3 linked regions of the Lytechinus pictus genome follow. The protein of the gene in region 1 interacts with the protein of each later gene in a biochemical or structural test. Links are inferred from orthologs where the notes say so. Each region holds a gene or a part of one and is shown in the gene's direction. Other genes may lie near its edges.

The links.
Region 2: the proteins of E3 ubiquitin-protein ligase AMFR-like (region 1) and large proline-rich protein BAG6-like form a complex in vitro, tested with the Homo sapiens proteins (2 studies listed by BioGRID, with this or other methods). The link is inferred for Lytechinus pictus from reciprocal best matches to the Homo sapiens genes AMFR and BAG6.
Region 3: of the proteins of E3 ubiquitin-protein ligase AMFR-like (region 1) and cytochrome P450 3A24-like, one has a biochemical effect on the other in vitro, tested with the Homo sapiens proteins (4 studies listed by BioGRID). The link is inferred for Lytechinus pictus from reciprocal best matches to the Homo sapiens genes AMFR and CYP3A4.

Annotation. Positions count from the first base shown.
Region 1 is NC_087246.1:24,899,387-24,903,146, forward strand, and holds the start of E3 ubiquitin-protein ligase AMFR-like, read left to right. Parts: upstream 1-1,151; coding exon 1,152-1,163; intron 1,164-3,408; coding exon 3,409-3,573; intron 3,574-3,760. UniProt on the Homo sapiens protein: E3 ubiquitin-protein ligase that mediates the polyubiquitination of lysine and cysteine residues on target proteins, such as CD3D, CYP3A4, CFTR, INSIG1, SOAT2/ACAT2 and APOB for proteasomal degradation.
Region 2 is NC_087259.1:30,468,780-30,472,539, forward strand, and holds the start of large proline-rich protein BAG6-like, read left to right. Parts: upstream 1-1,052; 5' UTR 1,053-1,120; coding exon 1,121-1,183; intron 1,184-2,158; coding exon 2,159-2,200; intron 2,201-2,722; coding exon 2,723-2,953; intron 2,954-3,633; coding exon 3,634-3,705; intron 3,706-3,760. UniProt on the Homo sapiens protein: ATP-independent molecular chaperone preventing the aggregation of misfolded and hydrophobic patches-containing proteins.
Region 3 is NC_087251.1:35,008,420-35,012,179, forward strand, and holds the start of cytochrome P450 3A24-like, read left to right. Parts: upstream 1-1,339; 5' UTR 1,340-2,081; coding exon 2,082-2,152; intron 2,153-3,628; coding exon 3,629-3,722; intron 3,723-3,760.

The DNA of each region.
Region 1 (3,760 bases):
TCTTGTCAATTCGAGGGTGCTGATTCCGAATATGAATGATGCCACTCTTGTAACCTTGAGCATTTTCCGCAAATTGGCAAAATCCAATATGGCCGCCAAAAAATGCAAATTACCCATGAAAATCATAGAATTGCCCACACATTAGCTATAAAATGCATGTAGTTGTTGTGCAGAAGTGAAATACCCGTTGTAAAAGCGATATTTGATAAAATATTTATTTTATTGATATTCAAAATGGCCGCCATAACCCCTGTATACCTTATTATGTAGAATATGAATGGGGAATTTTTTTTTTTAACATGAGCACTATTATTGCATGTGATTGTGACCTGCGAGTGGACTACTGTCTGAAAACATGACTTTTAACAAAACTATGTCATTTGTATACTATCTAATGTGATTAATGCTGTATTATGATATTCAAAATGACTGTCATAGACCCATTATAAAAGGGGACAAATAATTTTCACAACCTTTGAATTTGTTTGACTTTAAAATGCCAATAACTGCGAAATATTGGTGAAACACTTTCTGACAACAAGGATTTCTAACGAAACATATCATTTCCCTTGCAATTTCGGTAATTATGCTGCATTTTTACATTCAAAATGGCTGCCATAGGCCCTATCTGTATTATGAACAAAGCGAATGAAGAAACTAATTTTCACAAGATTAAAAACAGTAAAATGAATGTAATTGTAATCTACGAGTGAAATATTGTCTCAAAACATGTTTTCTAGCGAAACATATCATTTCCTTTTTCATGTATGAGATAAATGCTGTATTGTAAAATTCAAAATGGCCCCTATGGGCCCTTACAGTATTATCTACAATGTAAATAAATGGGGACAAATACTTTTGGAAGAATTAGGATTTGCCTGACTATGAAATCCATATAATTCTGTTGTATAAGGAAAATATTGTATGAAAACTTGATTTTTTTTTTATTAAATATAACATTTCCTCTCCCATATAGGTGATAAATACTGTATTTTGACTTTCAAAACGGCCGCACAAGCCATTATAAATTCTGTAACATGCGTATAGGGAAACTAATAATCACCAGAATGAGAACAAAAAACGCACGTAACTATGTGATGTATAGGTAAAATTTGGTCTTGAACATGATTTCTGACTAAATACATCACATAATGGTTAAGAAGGTAATAAAGGCCTTACTTTAAAATTCAAAATTGATGCAATAGCCAAAAGTAGTATGTACATTGTAACTGGGGACAGCTAATTTTGACAGAATTTTTACTACGAAAATGGCTTAATTTTGATAAAAGTGTTAAGTATTGTCTAAACCCAATGATTTCTAACGAAATATATCATAGCTTGTGTCATAAAGGTGATGAATGCTGCCTTTTAAAAATGAAAAATGGCCGCCCGATAGTCCCTTATCTTAATATGTAAAATTTGAATGGGGAAAGATAATTTCCACACAAAAAAAACATATTGCAGCCATTTTGAATTTTAAATATAGCATTTATCACCTAAATAACATAAGAAATTATCTATTTGGTTAGAAATCGTATTTTCAGACAATATTTCATCCATACATGCAACACCATTTTAGTCAAGCAAAGCCAAATTCTGTTAAAATTATATGTTCCCATTCACAAAGTACATAATAGGCCTACCGTTAGGGCCTGTAGCGGCCATTTTGACTTTCAAAATACATTATTTATCACCTACCTGGCAGAATGAATGATATATCTTGTTAAAAATTATGTTTTCAGACAATATTTTACTCTTAAATCACAATTATATGCATGTTATGGTGCTGACTCCTGTGAAAATTGGTTTCCCAGATCGATTGTACATAATACAGTCAATGTCTTTTGGTGGCCATTTTGAAAGTGAAAATGCAATATTTAACACAAATATGATACCCTTAATAATATATTTCGTTGCAAATTATATTTGAAGACAGTATCCCACTAATTTACCACAAAAAAATGCGTTTTAGTGCTCACATTGTGATTGTTTTTGTCCTCTCTCACATCGTAGATCATAATTCTAGGGCCTTTGGCGGCCATATTAAATATCAATATACAGGGTTTATCACATACATGGCATGTTAAATAATAAATTTCGTTAATAATGTTTTTAGTCAGTATTCCACTCGTTTATCTTAACAAAATGCATTTTAGTGCTCACTCTTGTGATTTTTTTGTCACCATTCACATTGTACATAATAGTGTTAGGGCTTTTGGAGGCCATTTTGAATATCAAAATACAGGATTTATCACATAACTGACATAAAAAATGATATATATCGTTAGCAATCATGTTTTCAGACATTGCTTCACTCATAGATTATAATTACTTGCATTTTCATTGCTCAAGTTTGTAAAAATTAATTTTCCCCATTCATGTTGTACAGGGGTCTATGATGGCGGCCATTTTGATATCAAGAAAATAAATATTTTGACAAAAATAATTTTTTCAGATATTATTTCACTCCGGCAGCACAATTGCATGTACTTTATAGCCAATGTGTGGACAATTTTATGATTTTCATGGGTAATTTGGATATTTTAGCGGCCATATTGGATTTTGCCAATTTGCAGAAAATGCTCAAGGTTACACGAGTGGCATCATTCAGATTCGGAATCAGCACCCTCTAATTGACAAGAAACCATAAAAAAACATTGTATATATAAAAAAACAAGGTTCGACCCCTTCTATCCTGGACTATTCTGGATGATGTTCAGACTTTGTTTATCAAGCCTACATTTACATGTTTGTGCCATCCCTGTGTAGCCCAAATTTCAATTACGGTAATGGTCAGTTTTGGGATTATATCAGGCTTTTTAATAAGTACTAAGCACTGCACATCATAAGATACCATCAAAATGATTTTGTTTGATCTGGGCCCTGTTGCATAAAAGTTTCTATTTTGATAACTGTGCCATCCAATGGTAACTACCATGGTAACACTGATCAACAGCCAATCAAGGATTCCATGCAAGTTACCACTGGATGGCATAGTTACCATAATGATTGATAGCTTTTCTGCAATGGGGCACTGTTTCCCATTTCATAAAGACTAACAAGTTTACCATCAACCAATCAAATTTAATGATTTCAATAGCTTACGTATATTACTGTTATTGCATATTTGTAATTATAAAAAGTTTTATGAAATGGGACAGGACTAGTTTGCCATGATTGATTGATTGATAAATTCAAAGTGGATGAAAGGGTTGATAGTAAGGTTGGCTCTTGGAAATATCTTGGTCATTCCTGGGACATACCTGAGAAAATTGAATGAGTAAGTACTGGTCATGGTTGTTCACTAGCGTCAAATCTATTTCTTGTTTACCAAATATGTGCCCTTTATTGTTTTCAACATTATCTATTGTCCTTTTATAATGTTGTACCTTGCATATTTCTTTCTAGCATCTTCGAGACAAGTTGTGGAACTTCTCTTTCTACAAGCTCATTGTGGTGTTTGGTGTACTCAATGTTCAGACTCTAGAGGAGTTGGTTCTCTGGGTTGGATGGTTCGCTATTCTAGCTTTCCTTCATGGTTTTGCCCAACTTTCCAAGGACAGGTTTGAATATGTGAGTAAAGAGCCATTTTGTTTTAATGAGTTATCAGCGAAGTCTTTCATTTTGTCTTTTATTTTGTTTTTACTTGTACAGTAGGTGTATTCAAAGCCAATCAGATACAGTGATTTCAGTAGCTTGTATCATTTTTCAGTGTAAATCCTAGACTAATTGTTTTATGAAACAGTCCCCAGAAGTGCAG
Region 2 (3,760 bases), on another chromosome or scaffold:
AGATATCTACACTTGCTTATGTACGCTATAAGTTTTCATTTTCATTAGAACATGGAGAAACGTAATAATATAATGCAACAATAATTTTTTTTCATAATATTGGATATAATTGACGCCTTTGGCAAGGCGTCAATCCACAATTTGCCACTCTCCACCCAGGTGTTAAATGGGTACCCGGTAGGATGCGAAAGCCTATGTAGTATGCCTAGCAATTGAGTCTTGGAACTCTTGTTGGAATGCTCCCCAGGGAGTGGAGAAGGTGCATACATTGTATGCGGGCATGCAAGGATCCGATGACTGGGGTGATAATATATCTGTAAAGTGCTTAGAGACGTCGTTTCGATGTGTTAAGCGCTATATAAATGCAGAATATTATTATTATTATTATAAATAGATCCTTAAATGGGGGCCTTTGGGAAAATAATTAAATATCAATCCTGTGATTGTTATTAAATGTTCAGTGATTGTATCAAACCAACTGAACTATTATTACTTTGAATACAGCTTTGAAAATAGTTTTTAATCAAGGCGACTCATTTGCCCCATTTTGATGTGCAAATAAGGCGCGCTGACAACAATATTTAAGGCTCATTAATATGCAAATGGGATTGATTAGATCTTATATTTCTATTGGATAATGTATGTCTGCTGTAGACCTTATATTTGACATCTAATCATGTTTCTACTGCTTTGCATTAAACAAATATGAGTGGAATTATGAAAAATGGGGCTTTATTTACCCCACTCTCCCCTACCCAGTATGAATGCTTGCCTCGAGCGTCTGATCAGGGGAGTCAGATTCAAGGAAATTTGTCAGATCTGACAACTTGTTGGACAAAACTGTTGATCAACAGCTCCCCAGGATAGCCATACTAAAGCCCAGGTAATAGTATGCATTGCATTAAGAGCTATATAAAGTTGCATATTATTTTTTCATCAAGTCAGCACTGCTGCTATATTGAATTAGACAAGTGCTGCAGGCGAGACTGCCAGAAGCTTTCCACTTGTTAGATTTTGTGGTGTGAAGTATCCTGTCATTTAATTTTTTACTTTATCTTTACTTTTCTTTAGATTTAGGATCAAAGCTTGATACAACAGAGTAGGGAGAGAGAGGATCATAATGATTGATATTACTGTAAAGACCCTGGATTCACAAACCAGGCAATTCTCTGTATCAGAGGATGTAAGTTTGCTTGATTTATTTCTTCTCAATATAATAATGAATGATAGTGGTGGATCCAGGTAGGGGCACATCCAGCCCATGGCCCCCCCCCCCCTCCACCCTTTGAAAGGCACAAGAAGATATCTTAGGGGATTTTGTCATGCATACGCATTTCAGGACTTTTTTTTTTGCTTGTCATATTTTTCCTGTACAAAATACCCCCCCCCCCCCCTTTAGAAAATCCTGGATCTGCCCCTGATGATAGTGATAATACAGATTATGTCAGTGATTAGTAATAATAATTAGGAGGTGCAAAAGCTCCATTGATGAAGCATTTGGTTCTGTTATCCAGTGAACATAGGTTTGATTCAGAGTTGATGTGTTATTGTCCTTTAGTGCCAATTGGTAAGGTATTGACCCTCATTTAATATTAGGGGCCCATATCATGAAGGACTTTCAACATATAACTTACCATTATGGTAGCTACTATGGTAACCGGGCTCAGCAGCCAATCACAATCAAGGTTTCCATGGTAGTTGTCATAATTGTAAAGCAACCATAGTTGTAACTCTTTATGAAAGAGGCTCCATGTCCTTTTTAGCAGACTTAAAATCTTCAAACGGATCCTCTGGTTAATTGCTTACTAAAATTCATAAAATTCATACTTTATAATATTATAATTCATAATGTACAATATTGCATTTTATTTTCAGTTTACAATACCACTTTAATTAGCTATGATAATTTCAATTGACAACAACATGTTAATTAACAATGCCAATGTAATTTAAATGAATGGGAAATGATAAAAATTACACTTCAGCAAGAGATGATTCATATATTAAGTGTATAGAAAAATCAGGAAACATTTATCGTTAATACAACATTTATATTGAGCAAATTTGTATGATTTCTTAATTCATTCTCATTGTTTAGATATGAATTGGAAGTATTTATATGTATTTATACCTTATTTATTTTCTTTAATTGTAATAGTTGACGGTGAAGGATTTCAAGGAAAAGATTGCAGGTTCTGTGGTAAGATATTTTCTCCTATCACTTATTTACAAAGAAGAGTAGCACTGTAGGCCTACATATATCATTAAAGGAATTTCATGTGAATTCTTCAAATAAAATCCTTCAATGACTGTATATACATACGTAACTCACAGGAAATGAATGTTCTTTAAGAAGATCAATTGAGGCCATGGGAATTACAGTCACAGGATTGATTAATTCATCTAATTGGCTTTAAGCAAAACTTTCAGCAAAAGTAAATGGCTTATTTTGTGAGTAACCTTGATTGAAATAAAATTATGTTCAATTTTCAACTATACAATCATTACATGTGTTTTCAGTATGAATGTATTGAGTAGTAAATTAGTGTGTTTTCATTCAAGTGGGTATATTTGACAAGAATGTTGCATTATGAGTAAGGAACCAGGCCAGATTCAAGTAGTTGAGGACTTTATGTGGTGCGAAACAAGGGTGCTGGCTCATAATTTGCTTTAAGTAGGATTCGTTTTGTTAATGTAATCTCTTTAACATGATCGCTTTCAGGGCATTGCAGCTGCCACTCAACGTCTCATTTACGGCGGTCAAGTCCTCAAGGATGAGAAGAAGCTGTCCGAGTATAACCTCCATGGAAAGGTCATGCATCTGGTGGAGAGGGCGCCCCCACGACCTGCAACCACCAGTGCGAGTGGTTCCCAGCAACAGAGAGGCGGTTCTTCCACTACTTCTGCCCCATCTCAGCAGCCTGGTCTTTCTGCAAACTCTAACGAGGTTCAGGTATGTATACATTGATTAGCGATTGATTCAAAGACATGATTTTGGAGTTTTGAGGCCATGAGACATTAATTTCTCATTTAGACTGCATATAATTGACTCTGCCTATTAAAGACAAGACCAAAAGCAAAGGTCAGCAAAGTATTACACCATCTCTGATATTCAAAGATTATAGTAGCAATGACATGTATGCTATGCTAGCAATATGTCAAGGGCCTTTATTCAAACCCTCCTCGTTTATTTTTGTTGTTCCTGGTTTCAGTGATTGATTCATCGTTCTAAGTAATCAGCTGTTCTATTATCCAATGACCATCCTCATTATTTAACATTAATCAGGTGGTTACAGCCTTTCTCCAAGTTTTTCTTCTCCACATTTGTTGGAAAAGAATTTGTAATCAGATTCTTAGAGATCCATTTTCAATTCAAGTTTATTTTTCTCTGCATAAAATGAACAGAAAAATAATAAATTACATGTGGAAAAGACAAAGAATACATAACACGAAAGACATAGAAGTTTATAATATTTATTGATATTTTCCAGAATTCTTATTTTTTATATTTCATTGCTGACATTATTATACAGCTGTTCAGTAAAGACCTACTTTTAAAAAAATATAAATTTTTCAAGATTGAAAGAAATAATATAACTTTCATTGCATATTCATATTAATTTTTAATTTTAGAACATCGTACAGCACATTCTAGGAGCTATGGGAGACTTGGGGCGCAATGCTAGAGTAACATCACAAGCATCAGTAAGTTGTTGAAAGACAGTTATGGGGACCGTTTCATGAAGTGTCTTGTCGATGG
Region 3 (3,760 bases), on another chromosome or scaffold:
ACGACACACTCTCGGCATCCTGTTGGTCAACTTGTTGAGGGAGTCACTTGAAATACCCGGCCATGCCTTCTGTAGTATCTCCCACAGATGAGTCTCACTTGTTGGGCAAGTTTCTCGAACCTTCCTGTCTAGTTCTTCCCAAAGCAGCTCGATGGGATTGAGATTGGGGACTGGGGCGGCCAATCCATGATTTCCAGGACTTGTTTCTCTTCCTTTTTCTTCAAGTAGTCTTTGCATAGTCTTGACGTGTGTTTTGGGTCATTGTCCTGCTGGAAAACGAATCCTTCTCCGATCAGGCGTTTCCCTGAAGGGATGGCCTTCCGCTGTAGGATAGAATGATAGCCGTGCTGGTTGAGGATACCCTCTACTCTGTGCAAGCTGCCTACCTTTCCTGCACCAAAGCAACCCCAAACCATGACATTACCACCACCATGTTTCACAGTTGGCTTGATGCACTGGAGTAGCATCTTTTCTCCCTTTCGCCGTCTCACATAGGTAAGTCGCTTGCTGCCAAACACCTCGAACTTTGATTCGTCAGACCAAAGAACCTTCTGCCACTGCTCCAAAGACCAGTCTTTATGCTTCCTAGCCCAAGCAAGCCTTTTCTTCCGGTTCTTTTCTTTGAGGAGTGGTTTCCTTGAAGCCACACGGCCCATCAGCCCTGCTCCACAGAGACGTCTTCTAACAGTTGAAGAACATACAGGCATCTCACGGGTGTTGTTGAGGTCAGCTGTAATCTGTGGGCAAGTCAGACAACGGTTGCGCAGACTGCTCACCCGAATGTATTTATCTTCAGCAGGAGATGTTGTTTTGGGCCTACCACTTCGTCTCCTATCCCCATTAGACCCAGTGGCCTCTTTGCGTTTCAGGCTGTAGTGAACAGCATGGATACTGATCTTGAGTTTCCTGGCTATTTCTCGCATGGAGTAGCCTTCTTTCCTCAAAACTACAATTGACTGACGTGTTTCCAAAGAAGGCTGTCTTGTCTTAGCCATTTTGATTTTGTGACTGACTTCTGATTAAGAAAAACTGAATAGGCAAAATGAATGAAGGTGCACTGGAATAAGTGTAAAAAAACTCTGAATAACTTTTGAATTCATGAATTTCAAATTGCACTGATGTCTACTCCACTTCCATGCATTTTCTTTAAAGAAGGATTAGGCATTTGTCAAGTTCAGATGTTTTCCAGGATAAAGATGCAGATTTCCATAAATTAACTGTCTTATGAACAATACTGAGCAACAAATTCTGGGGACATCTGCTGTAACATTCACAAAATAATGGGAAGAATTTCAGAATAGAACCCCAAACAGAATGCCATCTTGACTGGTAGCCTGCCCTCTTTGGCAGCTGCACGTCTCTTAAGAGCTTTGAATTTGTTTGATTCAATGATAAAATGTACACTGGTGTATAGCCTTCACTTTAAAACAAAAGTACAGCTGTACTATGAGGCTTAACTTCAGTAAAGTCTACCAAAGTTCGAAAAACACACACTGAAGGCAGGTGTTTCCAAACTTTTAGGGGGGAGTGTATGGGTTCTGGCATATGGGATTTGGAACTGATCAGGGGAGCGTTTCATCAATATTTTTATCCGACAAGTTGTCAGATCTGACATCTTTCCCTGATTTTGATTGGCCGAGAGGCACTGTTCCCATGGTAACTGTCGGATAAAATGGGACTTGTCGGATAAAACGTCCGACAAGTCCTTTCATGAAACGCCCCCCAGGATTTCCACGTGTACATGGTCCAGTTGATTTGATGGAATAAACTGGTCATCCATGATCCGGGATGTCAATAAGCGTTGATTATTGCATAACGAGTATATACAGACATTCTGTAGACCTACATGCCGATATGACGTATTGTTCAACGCCACTGATCTGAATACTATAATAAAAGGACTAAAGATAGTGGACAGATCAGTGTTCAACACCCCTTTTTGTGAGTTACCTCTGCATCGATCGCAAGCTGATGCAATTAGGCAAAGCATTGCCCGAGATCAAAGGGAAGCACCCTTTTGGTGATATATTGCCATTACAGTACACGACATTTTCCAAGAGTGTTCCTGTACATGACACAAAATGTCTTTCTCGATATTCGGATTCAAGATTTCATTGCCCATTGTTGGAGCAATAGCTGCTTTGCTGTTCGGGTAAGTAGATATAGGCCTATTTATGATATTTCTTCTCGTAAGGCTTACGCTACGTTAACAGTAATATTTAAAACCGAGTTTGAATAATAGACTAAAAATGGGCCCTATCTTCAATTTTTTTTTTCAATCACATTTCCTTCATGTTGTTCTCTTTATTCTGAGCTTTGAACCTAGTTTGTTTGCTCGGTTGAACTAATGTAATCATTATTATACATTCAACATAGATGTTCCTGTAAAACATGGATTCATTCATTGTAAAGTTGTAGATTCTTAGCTCCGCTAGATGGACACTGGATGCACGTAATCAATGTATTTGTTAATTCGCATCCACACCATAGCTGTCAACAGTATGAATATAGGCCTACGTACACCAAAGGTGTTCAGTACAGACTTAACATAAAAAGAAGAAGTTCCTGTACTCCGATAGATCAAGAGATTGACCAGCGTTATTAACCCCCTCAGTTATATCATGGATAGTCAATAATTTCATATAGCGCTCCATGGTAGCTAGGCCTATACATACAAAGATTACACAATTTAATTCTACACTGAATGGAAGTGGTGTACCAAGTATGTTTCCGGTTCTGCCAAGGTGCAGTGGTTCAAAAGTCCCCATCCATCATCGACCTCCTCGATCGGCTCCTGGCCTGTTCGTAAAAGTAAAAAAAAAGTATTGTGGTCTAAACTAAATTTCGATAATATCATAATCTAACCATATATATATATATGTATAATCTATATCGGTGTGAGTGGGGAATCAAGTATGGTTTGCTAAGGTGTGCCTATCAATAGTTGTTTATACAACTGATTATACCCTCATTTGCATAGCTTTAAGTAACTTTGCGTCTCAAAATTCATACAATTCCCTGTGTGAAGCATAGAGTGCCGTGAATGCTGGTACTACTCATGTATATTCGGTTTTGGGGGCTATTTCTCTAAGCTGATACCATTGTGAAAACTGTGAAGGACGGCTGAAGGGGAGGTATAACATTAAAATTGATATGTGCAAATTGATATATATTATATCAATTAATAATATGTCTGCAAACAATGATCAGTTCTAGACGTTCTGAATAACAGAAATAATTAAAGATCACACCACACAAGTCATGTTATATCTGAAAGTTTAAAACGTATGATCATCTTTTTCTAAAGTTCGGAATAATGCTAATACGTCTTAAACATTATTAAAACAAATCTTTACTATGTGATCGGAGTAGAACTCGGCTTCAAATTGCAACAGATGGCAAGATTGATATGACGTTAACCTACGTGCTGCCATGTCGGACAAAGAAAATCACAAGCGACTGTTTGTCCGTCGATAACTTGAATGCGAGACCCATAAAATTTTACTTCCATAATACGTAATGGTGGTTAGGCCACCTATTTTTGTTGGTACTATAATTTTGTCATTTTGTAAGCACCATTGACACAATTACTATCAACATTATTCATGATTTATATATTTATCACCAGCCAGGAGCTATGGAACCTAACCTACCTTTGGAGGAAAGGAATCAAGGGCCCAAGACCCCTGCCATTGTTAGGCAATATTCTTTCCTGCACAAAGGTAAATTATGAGATGGTAAAAAAGGTTCGATATAAACC